2 linked regions of the Lytechinus pictus genome follow. The protein of the gene in region 1 interacts with the protein of each later gene in a pairwise test. Links are inferred from orthologs where the notes say so. Each region holds a gene or a part of one and is shown on either strand. Other genes may lie near its edges.

Evidence for each region.
Region 2: the proteins of microfibrillar-associated protein 1-like (region 1) and KATNB1-like protein 1 interact in binary tests that used the Homo sapiens proteins (3 or more experiments, as listed by UniProt). The link is inferred for Lytechinus pictus from reciprocal best matches to the Homo sapiens genes MFAP1 and KATNBL1.

What each region holds. Positions count from the first base shown.
Region 1 is NC_087250.1:22,583,560-22,590,755, reverse strand, and holds the start of microfibrillar-associated protein 1-like, read right to left. Parts: upstream 3,017-7,196; coding exon 3,006-3,016; intron 1-3,005. UniProt on the Homo sapiens protein: Involved in pre-mRNA splicing as a component of the spliceosome.
Region 2 is NC_087251.1:16,893,784-16,901,687, reverse strand, and holds the start of KATNB1-like protein 1, read left to right. Parts: upstream 1-4,892; 5' UTR 4,893-5,181; intron 5,182-6,629; 5' UTR 6,630-6,656; coding exon 6,657-6,758; intron 6,759-7,904.

The sequences.
Region 1 (7,196 bases):
GCTTTCATAAGTTCAAATTAAAGCTAAATGAACGTAGTTGCAGTAAAACACTGATTTCGTGAGAAAGTCTGTAAAACCAAGGTAATGTATTGACAGGGTTGTTGATTTTTTTGATTTTTTTAAAAAAATCAAAAAAATTTGATTTTTTTTTATTTAAATCGGATTTTTATGATTTAAATCAGATTTTTTTGATTTTTTTCCAACGAAAAATAATGGTCACACTTAACAAGTTTTAAACTATATTTAAACTGTTTTACACCAATAATAGTGGTCAAGTAGTCTTTTGAACATTGTGTATTGTACTATTTGACACAATAATCCACTTATATACAGGTAATTTTTTTTTTTTTTTTTAATTTATTTGCATTATAGAGAGGGAAATTTTATGGAAGCCCAAGTAATGTTATGTATTATGTATACATTTAAACTCTTGAAATTTTTATATCAGTCAGTTCAAAACATCCGAAGTGTTACTCCAATGCATGAAGTACTCAAAGAACTTTAGAATTTCCAACAAAATTGACATTATTAAAGGCCTGTTAGGGTTCCTATACTGCCCTTGGGAATTCTAGCTGGGAATATTTCCTAGAATTATCACATGGGGGATTTTAGCTAGGAATATTTCCTAAAACTATCACATGGGGGACTTCCCAACTATCAGCTGGTAATAGCTAATAAACAAGGGTTTTGCAGCTTTTGTGATGCATGAATAAGCATGTCTGGAAGAAAATCAGACCCCATTTGGTACTTTTTTGAGAAACTGCCATCAAAATCTGCAACTGGATGCAGAGCAAAGTGCAAACTATGTGGTTTTGAGTTGATGGGGATTGTGAAGCGGATGAAAACACACCATGAAAAGTGCAATGTACACATATGCCTTCAACTTAAGTAATTTAAAGAATGGGTATTAATAGTAACAAGAAGGAGGTACATACAAGTAGTTCAGCTGTTTTGTAATAGTATCCAAGTTGTGGACTTTGAGCACCTTTGTAGATTTTATATATTATTTTATTGAAGATTTAACAGTTTGGTGTACATACAGAGAGTTATTTATCATTACTTCGTTAGAAACTTGTTGTTTTCATCAGTTTTGCTTGTTTTACAATTTGAAAATAAAACAGTGGTGTTAAATCAGACTCCATGAGGGTGTATCATTCTTTTAAAGTATCTCTAAAGCATGTGGAACAGAAATGAAAATGATTACATTGAAAGTATCTGTTAAGAAGAAGAGAAAATAGAGAAAACTAATTTTTTTCATAAAAGTTGATTTAAATCAGTGATTTTTTTGAAAAAAATCAAGTGATTTAAATCGCGATTTAAATCATGATTTAAATCGACATGATTTAAATCAAACAACCCTGTGTATTGATATATCATCGTGGATCTAAATCTGGTACAGTTACATAAACTGAACTTTGTGAAATCATAATATCTAGCTAAAAAACGATCACACTGAAGATCGCCAACACAGATAGGCACACGTGAGACAGTGTATTATTATTGCAGGAATAAAGACCCAACGGAAGTGACCGAATCCGCGCTTATTTCTCAGCAATTACACAATTTCTTCCAGAATCCTTTGGCACATATTTAATATTCATACAAACAGACACTTTGGTGATCATTATATTAAATTCTGTAGAAAGTCATTTTGAGATCGTTCCCACAACTGGAATTTATCTTTAATCTTCCTATGCTCGTTAAATTGGCAACAATCATGAATTTCCTATTCATTATACTTCGAACATGAAATATGGAAATATGACACGAGTCTAAATCAATTATGAAGGGATACATGTATTGAAGAGTTGCCAATTTGCATTTTTAAATTGTGATTTTATCATGTTGCCAATTTTGAGTGGGTAATGATTAATTCAAAATACTTGGCTTTAATCAGGAACAGCATCACATACAGTTTCTGGAATGGTATCAATTTTTAAAGTACTCTTTCATCTTTCCAACCATATGCAATTTGTACTTGCTAGCAAGCTGGTTGAGAAAATGCAAAAGTATCTCCTAAATTAGACAAGGGTTAATCATCTTCCAATTAATCTTTTTGGCCCGAATTCACAAAGGTGGACTAAAGTTATACCCGGGGTATAAAACGCGTCATTTGACGTCATTTTAATCCATGGACTAAAGTTAGCACCTAGGGGCTAACTTTTGCGATTCACAAAGGTCGACTAAAGTTATACCGGGGTATAAAACGCGTCATTTGACGTCACGACTTAGTCAGCTCTTTGGGGTGGACTAAATCGGTGGGTTAAAGTTAGTCCACTGTTTTAACCAATCAGAGAGCAGCATTTCGATTGCGGAAAAGTTTGCTGCATGCAAGAAAAAAGTTTTTTGGACAGAGACGAGATTTGGTGTGATCGGCTTATCTAAAGCTTCATATTTCACGACTTCCACCGAGATTGTAAGTAAATTACATAATTTTTGGAGCTTAAATCATGACGGAGCCTTCAGTTCCATCTGTAACTATTATTGATAGCTTTAACTTTCCAAAAAGTATACTCGAAAACTTGAAATGGTATCTGAATCGGTCTGAATCATTGTTATCGTCGCGTCTCTAAGCTGCTCAGTCCCAGCCATGTACTTTTGTGTGCGTTCATATCTATGAGCAGTGCAGTGCAGTGCGAGACGCAATTAGCGTACACTACACAGGCAAGGTAGGCGTGATTGAAAGGCCGATACTACTACTAGTTATGCCAGGCAGTGATTTTGAGTGATTCTCGATTTCGTGTGATTTTCATGAAATTTTTGTTGTCTACGATACCCCTGCCACTTCTCCTGGCTCTGCCAACACAATCTACTGTGCATCTAATTTTGCCTAAAGCAAGGCCAAGGCAAGGCCAGGACTCCTGGCAGGATAGCAGCAATACAAATTACAATTACAAATAATTTTTTTTTAAACACTAACGTTACAAATACAGAGCCGGTATAGACATTCTACTCTGGGCTGGCTTTGCCTTGGCTTGGATAGATGGTCAAGCTATGAAGCTTACCTGGTAGCCATGTTAGAGTTAGTCCTACAACATCGTTGGAGTAAAAAAAAATATTATAATAAGGGTCACCTCTCTAGTAAGACTAAGGCTCGTTCGTAGGATGAGTGGACTAAGCCCTGATTAAATTATTTTTGGAAATTAAAAAAAAAAAAGATTGGGTTCCACTCACCGCTGTTTACTCCAACAGCTATAAATGAGCTGATTTTACTTTTACTAAAACTAAGTTTTACTGACCTTCGGCATCGCATTTGCGATCACTTATACTAGATTTACGGTGTCGTCAAAACATTACAAAATAATGGAAATCCTAGGCCTTATTAATAATTTGAGTAGATCTAACTGAGGTCTAACTTTGAAAATTCTCTCTTTTGGGGGTTATTTTCTCTACCCCACCCTCTTTGTTTCAAGTATTTTTTTTTTCACAAGGTGTCCTTTCAATGTTAAATTCACATGAGACCACAGACAAGTGCATTTGATCTTAAGTCCTCTACATTTGTAGTAGACCGATAAATAGGTTTATTTCTGTCAGAGATATGCTCCCCTGAGACTTCATGTGGCTCCGCAGCATCCCCTCCCACAAAAAAAAAATCAGAAAATGTTACAAGACTCCTCTGAAACAGCGGATTTTATCAATCTACATTTGTAGCTGCTTTATTATTTTTTTTTATACTTTGACATTGCAGTATGATTGATGAATGAATATTTTTTTCATTATTTTTTTTTCTTCCATATCAGCAACAGACCATACATACTCGGCAGATTGTGATCAATCAAGACAAGGCAAACATGGCTCACAATTTTGAACTGCTGTGCCGTCTTGCAAGAGAGTGAGGTATGCCTTATCAATTCATATTTAAAAAAAATTAAATGTCATTAAAATGGCCTTCTTAAATAAAATATTATTTCCGGGATTTGAATTCATCATGTAATTGTAAATGTATCATGTGACATGTATGTTACTTTTTCATTCTTGTCATAGTAATTGACAAAAAAGAAGAGGGGGGGGGACCTTGCTTGTGTGTTATTAACATATATATTTGTCTACTGGTCACTAGCTTTTTTTTTAAGGCTTGTTGATCTCCAATTAATCCTGACATTTTGTTGAATATTTATTTAAAAGAGAGAAAGAAAACATTGTCAGTCTGATGAATGCCGGGGGGGGGGGGGGTAGAAAAAAAGGTTTAATGAGACTTTGATGAAGATTCATGAAAATATGTTATTCGAAAATCACTCGCAAGCAATAACCTCTATTTGTGTAAACAAAGTTCCATAAAATTAGTGCCTTGCCTTCTTTATTAAAGCCAATTGAAAGTGATTCAGTTAATCAGTTTTCATAGAAGCATCTCTAAGACGTGCGTGGTTTGATCAATGATGATGATCAGCAACAATTGGCAGGTTTTTCTTCTTCACTTTTACAAGTAGGTAAATAGAAAAGCTACTCATGTCAATTAGAATTTTTATCCTATCTTTTTTTAAGGATTTCTGTATAATCTTTCACATTCTGTTCCTCATTTTAAACACTTTTGAATTAAATGAAATTCAAAGAGTAAATTGCCCATTCATGGTGACTCTTCAACACAATCTTCCAACTTCCATGCAGATTCAGCAACACATAGAAAGACCACAGCATGGATTAAGAGACAGGAAGAATCCATTTGAATACTACGAGGATGAACCTCTCAGAGTGGGGTACCAACAGAGAGAACCACACATTGCCTGTCATGTTACAGGTTTTGACAGGACTTTCTTTTATGTCATTGGTGAGTTTTCATGTGCAAACTATAAAGCAGAGGGTAATGGGGGGGGGGGGTCAAATTATGTTCTATGAAAGTGATTTTCCAGGCCAAAAATGATGAGATTTTGATAAAGAACAATTCGACTAGCAAAAACCATCAATATTGGATGGAGAATTATGAATTGATTCAGTTTTAAAGTTTTACATAACTTGGGGGAAACAGTTCTGTGTATCTCATATGCAATATTCATATCCCCACTTGTTCTCTAGTGATCTGAAATTATAATCATTAATTTTTTCCTCCAGGAATGTAAAAATGGGGTTGACTGCTGATTATATATTTAAGATAGTTATTGCGAGTTCAGAATAATGTAAGGATCAAGGATTGGAAGTATCTAGTCATGAAAATTAAGTTTCATGTTTTGCTTAGCATGCAGATTTTCCATTGAGTAATTGTCGCCAGAGCAAATATCATGGAACCCTTGTACATTCATGTGTGGAAAATGTGTGGATGTGACATCATCAGGCTATTTCTTGCATATTCATGAAAACATGCACATGTTTTACAGAAATAATTAATGCAAAACCTAATATTCATTATTAATCATCCAAATTGTACGATTTTTGTTTCTGCTTTCAGCCAGGAGTACTAGTAACCCCTTACATGGGAGGGGGAGTGTTGGGGGTATTTCACAGAAAGGTTTTTGTCGGAATGAAACACGTAACCCTTTGGGTTGGAAATAGGTGGGGATTTTATTTTTCTCTCATTTTTTACAATGTAGCAACATTTTTTAATACAAATATGTCATATTCAAGTGGGAAATTATCATGAAGGATGATTTATAACCACTCAAAAAGAAATATTGGTATGTCATTTCAGCTAGAGAGATATTCTCCATTTTGCATGGATTGTTATTGCAGTAGAGTTTTTTTTTTAATGAATCAAAGAAAAATCTCTTTAAGCAGTTCCAGTGCATCATAAACATCAGGTCATAACAGAAGCACAATGTTTGCAAACGTAAATGGTAAAGTATCAATTGGCTTTCATATCAATAAACCAATTACATAACATCACTTATCATTCGATAACTAAAGGTACCTTTTAGAAGATGCAAGCAGACAAAGCAACTATATCACAGTCATCCGTGTGCAGAATCATCAAAGATTTTTCTGAGGCAATAGCAAGGAGTAACAGTGAATAAAGTTTCCAATGACGAGAAATTCAAACCACCCAGCGACAATTTGATGATTGCTTCAGGTTTCCAAGAGTCATAGGTGCTATCGATTGGGGCCAATCCAGGCCATGTCTACATCAGGAGTCCTGATGGGGAACAAGCCCTGTACTTAGCAGGAAGAACAGGTCTTCTGTAAATGTATAGGTTGGTATACTCACTCAGTTTTCAATGTGATATTCTCTGTATTCAACACCTACTAGAGGTATGTGATAATGAAGAAAAAATATATTGGCCCCCTACTACATGTCTTTTACTGTCTTTTATCAAGTTTCAATGTTGTTGGTCAAATTTTTTTCTAATTTTATACTCTTAATATGTGAAATAAGACAATTTCAAAGATTTCACTGAAGAAAAAAAATATAGATAATCTGCTAACTTTCCTATTGCAGGAGAAATGAAAAATAGAAAAAAATGCATTTTGCTTATTCAGGTAAAGGATTTATTAATTGCTTGATCAACGAAGATATATTTCCAGAAAGAATACCGAAGAGCAAATTTTCTAATATTCATTTTGTTTTGATCCTTATTGCAGGTATCCGTTGCTCCTCTCTTTGATGAATTCCTGCCTGCATTCTGTTGTCAATAGAAAAGGACGGTGTGCTTCGGGTATTAAGCATTCCATTGGATTATCTGTGCATGAAAGTGGACACTTGTGATAAAAATATGGTAGCTTGGTTGATAGGATGTATTCATGCATTCCGATTTATCATTCGTGATCAAATGACCATCTTGCTTCTTAAATCCCAAAATCACAACATTTTTCTTGTTTGACAAAAGGTTTGGGACGTGAATTCCAGGATATAAATGACACACATGATGGGCTAATGTATAAGCAGGGACACGAGAGGTATAAGCAACATTTTTTTCGTTTAATTAAGTTTGGCATGAGATGGACTTGGTCTTTCTTATGATTCAGGTATATTTTATACCAATTTCGTTTTAATCAACAATCAATGTTTGAAGCCTCATGATTTCAATTTCAAAACCTCTTTGTTAACTAAACAGTCATTTTTCTTAGCATATGCAGCTTCTTAATTTATCAAATTTAAATTATAAAATATCATTTTTGCTGAACATCCTTTTTTTCAACCTATTTTTATAGGGCCTAAGATACATTTCTGTAGTAAGCACTATAAATACATTGCAAGCTATTATCATTTGTTTGATATTACTATTTTATAGAATCATCCTTTAATTTCTTTCAGAAATATATTTGACAAA
Region 2 (7,904 bases), on another chromosome or scaffold:
AGTAACTTGTCTTGTCGACAAAATGAGATTATACCTTGCTAAATCGACTTATTAAAGCCCGGCGCACACTATGCGATTCGTTGCGATCCGAATTTCAAAGAAATTTTGATATGTACATTGGCGTAACCACTGGGGGCATGGGGGCACGTGCCCCCCCCCCCCAAAAAAAAAAAAAAACAGAGGAAAAGGAGAAAAAAGGGAGAAAGAATGAGAAACGTATAGTGGGGAAGAAGAAATTTCATTATATTATGTTTTTCGTAGCTTTATGAAACATAATTTGCTTAGGGCCTATATGTGTTCATCATTCCTGGTTCTCGCATTGTCTGTTTAATGAGATATTATAATCCTGCTGTACTAAAACATCCCGTTTTCAAGTCAATATACACCAAATATATTTCCTCGCACTTCGAGTTATCGTTATTTTTGGTAGTGACATATGCTTCTTTTACATAGATATCTAAAGTGATTGCCCCCTTTATAAAACATATCCAGTCTGGGCTTACGTTCGCATTAGTGAATTGGTGAGATATGTCTGCTCTTCATGAATTCCTAAAAACAATTCCTAAAATGTCCACTTTTCCGGTCTGAATATAAAAAATTTATCAAAAATCAGCCCGGACCATCCCTTTAAAATGTCCTGTTTGGGGTCAATATAGGCCTATACAAAAATTGAAGCTCGCGCTTCGCGCTCGCATTGCTTGTTTGGGGAGACAGGTACGTGCCATGATTACAAAAATTTGCTTATGTCAGTCCTTTTTTACGTCTGAATATAAAAAATTTCAGCTCGCGCTTCGCGCTTGCATTATTTTATCAGTGAGATACAAATCCATTAAATGGCACAGTCCTTAAAATGTCTCTACAAGGTTAGTATACCTGGCAATTTCGCGCGCTTCGCGCGCCCACTAAGCGACCCAAAATTTTAGCTGGTGCCCCCCAATGCCGTGACCCACGGTACGCCACTGCATGGATATGTACACTCAAACCAAAGACTCCGACCAATGATAGCGAAATCGAAATTCAGTCTATAGTTTGAGCCTCCCTGTAGGCCTATAGGAATAAAGGCAAATTATCCAAATCGTAATGACATCATCATCGGCTGTGACTTGAAACCGATTTGGACTTTAATCCGACCACAGGGCTTGCCCAAACCATAATTATGATGTTCTTATTCCTAACAGTTATGCCGAACTTCAAATGAAATAATTTTAATTCTTGGAATTTTCACATTTAATGCAAAATGCGATTTACTAAAAAAAAAATCGCGTCGCATCAGATAACATAGTGTACGCTGGGATTAATATAAAAGTAAAATCTCAAAATGGCGAAATAATAGGCATTCGTTATGTTGCCAAGTCGACTTATGAAACGTTGAATGTCGACATGTCGAGAGATGAGTCAACCACATCGTATGGAATATTAGAGGAGCAGCGGCGTAACAGGGGTCGGTGGCCAGGGGGGCAAGAGCCAAAAATGTCCAGGTCATATCATGGTATGAACAGGCATAAGGTGTAATGAGGCGACGATTTTGAGAGGGCCAGACATTGCGGATCAGGCAGAATTTATCTTTAAAAAAAAGTTGCGAGCGAGCAAAAAATTTTGACATTTTTAATACAAAAATCCAATTTTTTGACAGATTTTGACATGATATCCAGAGAATAATATATTTCACTCTTCTCTCTTTCCATTCCTTTTTTGTGGTCTGTACGCCACTGTCAACAGGATTCTTTGCGGCAGTAGCGTGAAGAGTAAAAATAAGCGAGCGAGAAAAAAAATCACCTTTTCATGAGAATCTAACTTCGAGATATTTTTTAACATTATATTCAGTAAATAAATCATATCCTACACTTTTCCTTTGCTTTTCTTTCCTCCTTTTTTTTTCTTGGTTGTAGAACTTCTGGGGACCATGGCCCAACCATTCCATACTCATGTACGGCAGTGCTATGCGGTTGGGGTCCGGGGCAGAGCCCCCGGAAATTTTTTATATCAAAGCCATTTAAACCTCGCAGATTGCCGCCATTTTCAATCAAATCGCGGGTATATACAGAATATAGCTTTTACACAACACATTTATTCAACCCAGTTGAAACAAAATATGGGCAAAACGTAGCAATGTGGAAAATTTGTAAAAAGTCGCCAGCGAGCGAAGCGAGCTGGAAAAAAAATTGCCTATTGAAATTAAATTCTAATTATGCGTTAGGGGAGACCGGGGCTAGTTTGCACTTGTAAGGGTAAGTTCGCCACCCTCGTTTTTTTCATAATCTATACCGGTGACGTCAACGACGCATTTGCGCTATGTCGTGTGACCGACGCTGCGCGCACCAGCCACATTTTTTTCGCCATTCAAGAAGATTTGAAATTCTATCTCGAAATTCATCATTTTCGTCAAAGTGAGTGAAAAATTGGTCCTTATTTAATATTGTATATGCTACTATATGCCTAGATAATTTCATGCTATCAATGCCAGTTTCCGATAAGCAAATATGTGCCCTTTTTATCCCCGAATGTAATTTGCCTATCCCTGCCTCCCCTGTTTACACAGAGTCACTTGAGCATGATTTGCACCCGTGAGGCTAGTCCGCCGTCTATCAACGGGGCATGATCGCCGGGGAGGTGAACATGCCCCGTGGAGGAGGCGAATTTACCCCGGTCTCTACTGGAAATAGAAAATAAGATATGCTGTGCGCTTTTATTTATTTATTTCAAATCTTTATCCAGAGTAGCCTGTTCAGTTCAATATACTTAAATATATTAAATTACACAAATATGTACAATTAAAATGGATAAAAAATCACTGGTCTTCCACAGGCACAGGGCTCTGCATTATTATCTACATACATATAAAAATGCATAACATGCAGAAATCATTTCATTATAAGAATAAACATCAAAACAAAGCAAAAGAAGACATCAATTATCATTATAAGAATCAAAATGAGATAGCAACCGGAAATGTTAAGGAGAGAGAGAAAGAGACCTAAAGATGCGACGTTTATGTATATATTAAGAAGTAATATTTTGCACACTTTTTGTTTTCAGGATGGTACGCACATAATTTATGCCAGAAAAACAGAACGGGCGAGAATTCCGCCTGACGTCGTGAAGTAGAAAGTGTTACCTCTTACTTCAAGACTGGTCTTAAAATTCAAGTGCAATGTGGGTTAAAGCTTAGCCTTACGAAGGTTTGGTCAGCAGTATCTTTTTATTTATTTATTTTGTATTTTCAATTTTAATTTTGATTTATTTTCAATTTATGAAATTTTCAATTGAATTATTTTCGTTCTATGTAAGAACAACGAGTTTTCTGGTTTGTTGTTAATAAAGCAGTTACAGAATTGAATAAAATTGTATAGTTTATTTCTTTGGCAAACTTGCCCCGTCATAGGCGCAATTATACCCGGGGGGTAGGTGAACCTGCCCCAACACGGGGCAGGTTCACCTACTTCGAAAATTTTCATTCAACATTGAATTCCTAAAAAAAGTGATAGCTGATAGGATTGAAGTGATGCTGTAATTTAGCAAAGAGTCATAGCTATCAAATGAAGACATTTGGGCACTATGTTGACTTGTAATTTGGACTGTATACGGCGACTTTAGTAAAAAGGGGGCGAACTAGCCCCGGTCTCCCCTATAGAGCCATTTGAAGGTTACAGATGAGAGCCCCTACTCGATCCATGGGGTCTGGGGCAAATCCCCGGTACCTTATTTGCATAAAATTTAGCAAGCTTATAGTTCAATGTTGTATGCAGTCCATCTTTCTTCCCGCTCTTTATTTTCAATCCTCGGCAGCCCGGTCGAGTTATTAAGTTTTTTTTTCTCTTTGTTTTCCAATTTAGCTTTTGACTATTCCATTCTACCTTCATTCCCCGCTATTAATTGTTTGCCATGCATTTTGTCATCTTTTAATTTATTTCCCATCATGCTATTGCATTACATAGGCCTATTTCGGAATGATTTGTTCTTTCTCAAATGTTCTTCTTTCGTTCCTTTTCCCGCTTTCCTTCCTTTTGGGCCTTTTCCTCCTTTCCTTTTCCCCTTTCCTTCCCCTTTCCCTTTCTTTCTCCCTCCCTTTTCTTTTTTTTCCCGGTTTTTTTAATTTCCCGGTGAAATCCGCCAGGGGGGCAGCTTAATTGCCCGATGCCCCCCCCCCCCCCCGCCTGTTACGCCACTGTAGAGGAGAACTTTTTTGTGTGCTATATAGGCCTATTAGAGTTGGCGCTGTTGAAGAAAATGTGGCGCAGAAAAAGTGGACGAAAACCAAAATGATAAGAGAACACTAGAAGTGAAAATACAATCTGGGCATTACCAAATAGCCGTGTTACGATCTGCGTGTAGAAAAAATGTGGTTTTTTTCAGAAGCAACATGGCATAGGGCATTCTAGTAAATCCACTTGTGTGAGAAAATAACTATTTTCATCACGGCTGAGTTATGAAGCAATAATTATAGATGGAAATGGGAGCCGCATAAAAACGTCAAGTAAGGCGAAGTCTCTTTCTTTTTTCTTTTTTTTAATTTTTCCTTACAGAGGGGGGGGGGGGGCTCGCCGCCACAAAATTAGGGGCGTGATCCCCTATGCGGCCCCTAGGCTCTACGCTAGATCTGGGCATGTCATGATCATCCCTTTTCATCAATATTTTCGTCCGACAAATTGTCAGATGTACGCCACACGAATCTAAAAAGTACCTAGACCATATCATCAAACAACTAAATAACAAATTGAATGACCTTTGAATTTTAGTGTACAATCGGTGAAATTTAAATCTCGATTTAATTTGTTCAGAGAACTTGCTCAAAAACCTGCTAATCCGATGCTAAAATAGCTAGGCCTATATCAAAATCATGAAAATCCTTTATTCATCCAACACACTAGCTCTTTAATTGTGGCCTTCATGTATAAACATATTAAAGCATGATTATTTCATATTTTAATAAGCCTTTAATAGTAATTTTTTTAGACGGAGCACGGCTGGCTGTTAGAGGCCGCACAGAGGCCGGCCGAACCGAGCTAGGGTTAGGCTCGGCGAGACCGATCGAGCGGATTTTTGACCAATCAAAACGTGATCTCAAACAATAACGATTTGAACTGTCGACACGTTTGTTTACATTTTATTGATTCGTGCGGATCGAAGTTTCGTACAGAGCAGAGCCAGAGCAAAGGTGTGGAAACATTTGATTAGCACTTGGTAAGTTAATGTGTTGTAGGCCTAGTTTATTTTCAAATAAGTAGAGTCTATTGCCTATTGGTAATGTTCCGACAATTTGATTAGAATTTAGAGATTGGGTAGATCTCGAATGAATATTTTGTAAGTCGGACCGGACCTGGCGTTATCATCGCACCGCGCTGGTACGTTGCTAACCCAGGGCCAGGCCCAGGGAGCTCGGGCACGCGAAGCGGGCCGGAGCCCAGGGGAGCGTTTCATCAATATTTTCATCCGACAAGTTGTCAGATCTGACATCTTTCCATGATTTTGATTGGCAGAGAGGCACTGTTCCTATGGTAACTGTCGGATAAAATGGGACTTGTCGGATAAAACGTCCGACAAGTCCTTTCATGAAACGCTCCCCTGGAGTCGTCCGTGTAATACGAGACAGACCACTCACACAACATGCGAGGTTAGTATACTGGAGACAGACATATTCTCCAAGATGGGGTAGATTGGGGTCGCAATAGCACTCAAAATAAGGGGGAAAATAAATTATGCACTTATGGTAACTCGATTATATGGATGAAGGTCTATCGTGAGACAGAAATCCTGACATCGAGGCACAAACTGGACCCTCAAAAAAAGGAAAAGTTCTGTCTCGTTCGTTCTCCTTCTGTCAAAATTGAAAACAAAATGGCCGATCGATACCGAGAACGAATGTGACAGAGGTAAAACTTTTCCTTTTTTGAGGGTCCAGTTTGCGAGCTCCCTGGGTTAATACGTTGCCTGCCCTCGCTTTGAAGGTCAGTAAAACAACCGGTGGTACGATGGGGGTCGGGTGTCCGGACACTTGACTTTATATTTTTGAAGCCTTCTTTTTTGTCTTTGGATCGGATTACACTATATGAATTCAATAGTTGTAATCATCTTCTATTTTGTTCTCGCTTCGGTCTAATGTTATGTTGGTTGTTCCGCTGAACTCCGTTGGCTCCACTCACCAAATACAGAGACCGAAGTTCTAGCTCAATCTGTACAGGGGACTCGATGGCCATATGTATTAAGTTTGGATAAAACAGGGAAGTGAAGTTGCGCGACAGCCTAAGTAAGTCACTGTTTTTTCCCCTTTTAAGTTTATTTTTCCCCGTTTTCGTGCATTTCAGGCCAAAACGGAATAATAATCTTTATTTTGGTACAGGTCTTTTTATATATTTTTATGAAAATCGATGAGCCCCGTCGGGGGAATTTTGCATTGTTAACCCCCTAATGGTGGCTGCACGATAGCGAGCCGTCTGTGTACGAGGAGAAATTAGAAGGAAAAAAATGTTACAAAACTCCTCGAAACAGACGGCTGCCAGCTGTCTAAGAGAAATGTTGACAAGTATATCCACTGAAATATAAAGAAGAGGATACTATAGTATAGCTATACATGGTGTAGTTCACATTCTGATACTGATCATTTGTTTGTTTGATTTTTTTTCTTGTGACAGACACTAATTTTCTAAAAATCAACAGAGATGGCATCAAGAGCAAGGGGACCTAATGAGGAAGGAGGATTCGTCAAATGGGACTGGAACAAAAACAAATACATTTGGGTCTCAAAAGATGACATCAAAAAGGTTGGTATTATATTTCTTGATCAAACTATCAATTCAGAAGCCAATTCTGTGAAATGAACATTTTGAACAAAGGCCAAATTCCACCAATTTTTTTTTATGGGTCAAACAATTCTTGATTTCAAAGCATTACATGTATGATGTATGTCAGCAAGTTTGAATTGCAATCTTACTCTTACCTTTGTCCCCGAAATCCAACTAAACACAATATTGGAAAGCACCAAATGAAAGCCATTCTTTTTAGTAGCACTGAAATGTTTTGTATATCACTTCACCCTTAATTTTGATTTATGATTGTATTGGTAGTGTCAATGAATGGGATGGGAAGCTCCTTTATCTATTAAATATTATATTGTCTCAGTATGTATGGTTATGGTATGATGATTGTTTGTCAATATGGTATGATGATTATTTGTCTTACACATATAGTGAGACCACCACATATCAACCACCTCTTTTGAAACTGACCACCTTACGCGCATTTAAATTATTGCGTATTACAAACGATACGCGCGGGAGAGTAGGCGCAGTGTCCATAGGAACGGTAAAATTTGATTTTACAAGAGAAAAAGAAGGGGGGAAAGGTAAAAATTTAGTAGAATTTATCAAAATTGTTTTGACTAGACCCGAACCCGCCCCGTTTCCGATAGGAAGGGCTTTAGAACAAATATCCGTCGTCAATCGTCGAATCATGTGCCGGAGCTCGCAGTGGAAGTAGTGAGACGATCATTTAGCATGTTGACATCATAGAACTGATTTGGAAGATTCGCCACCGCGACAAGAATCGGCCGTAAACTTAGTGTATCACGGGTGGTCGGTTTCAAAAGAAGGGTGCAAATGAGCAAATGTAAAACCGTCGTATTCGTTGTTCGCCAATATATACGCGAATTGAATCAGAGTCACTGATCAAAACATGGGAATCTGATCTGCTTAATTTTCTGCACAAATGAGACGAAAACTAGGTTAAACTGATAAATATTTTTGCAGATACGATGCTTAGAAAATTAGGTGGTCGATAAGGGGTAGTTCCAACCATACTGAATATTATTTTATGTCATTATCTACTCATTCTTACAATTATCCTAGATTAAATCACTTATTGAATGATCAACTGTCTTATTTTGATGCTTGGCATAACTACAAGTCTCA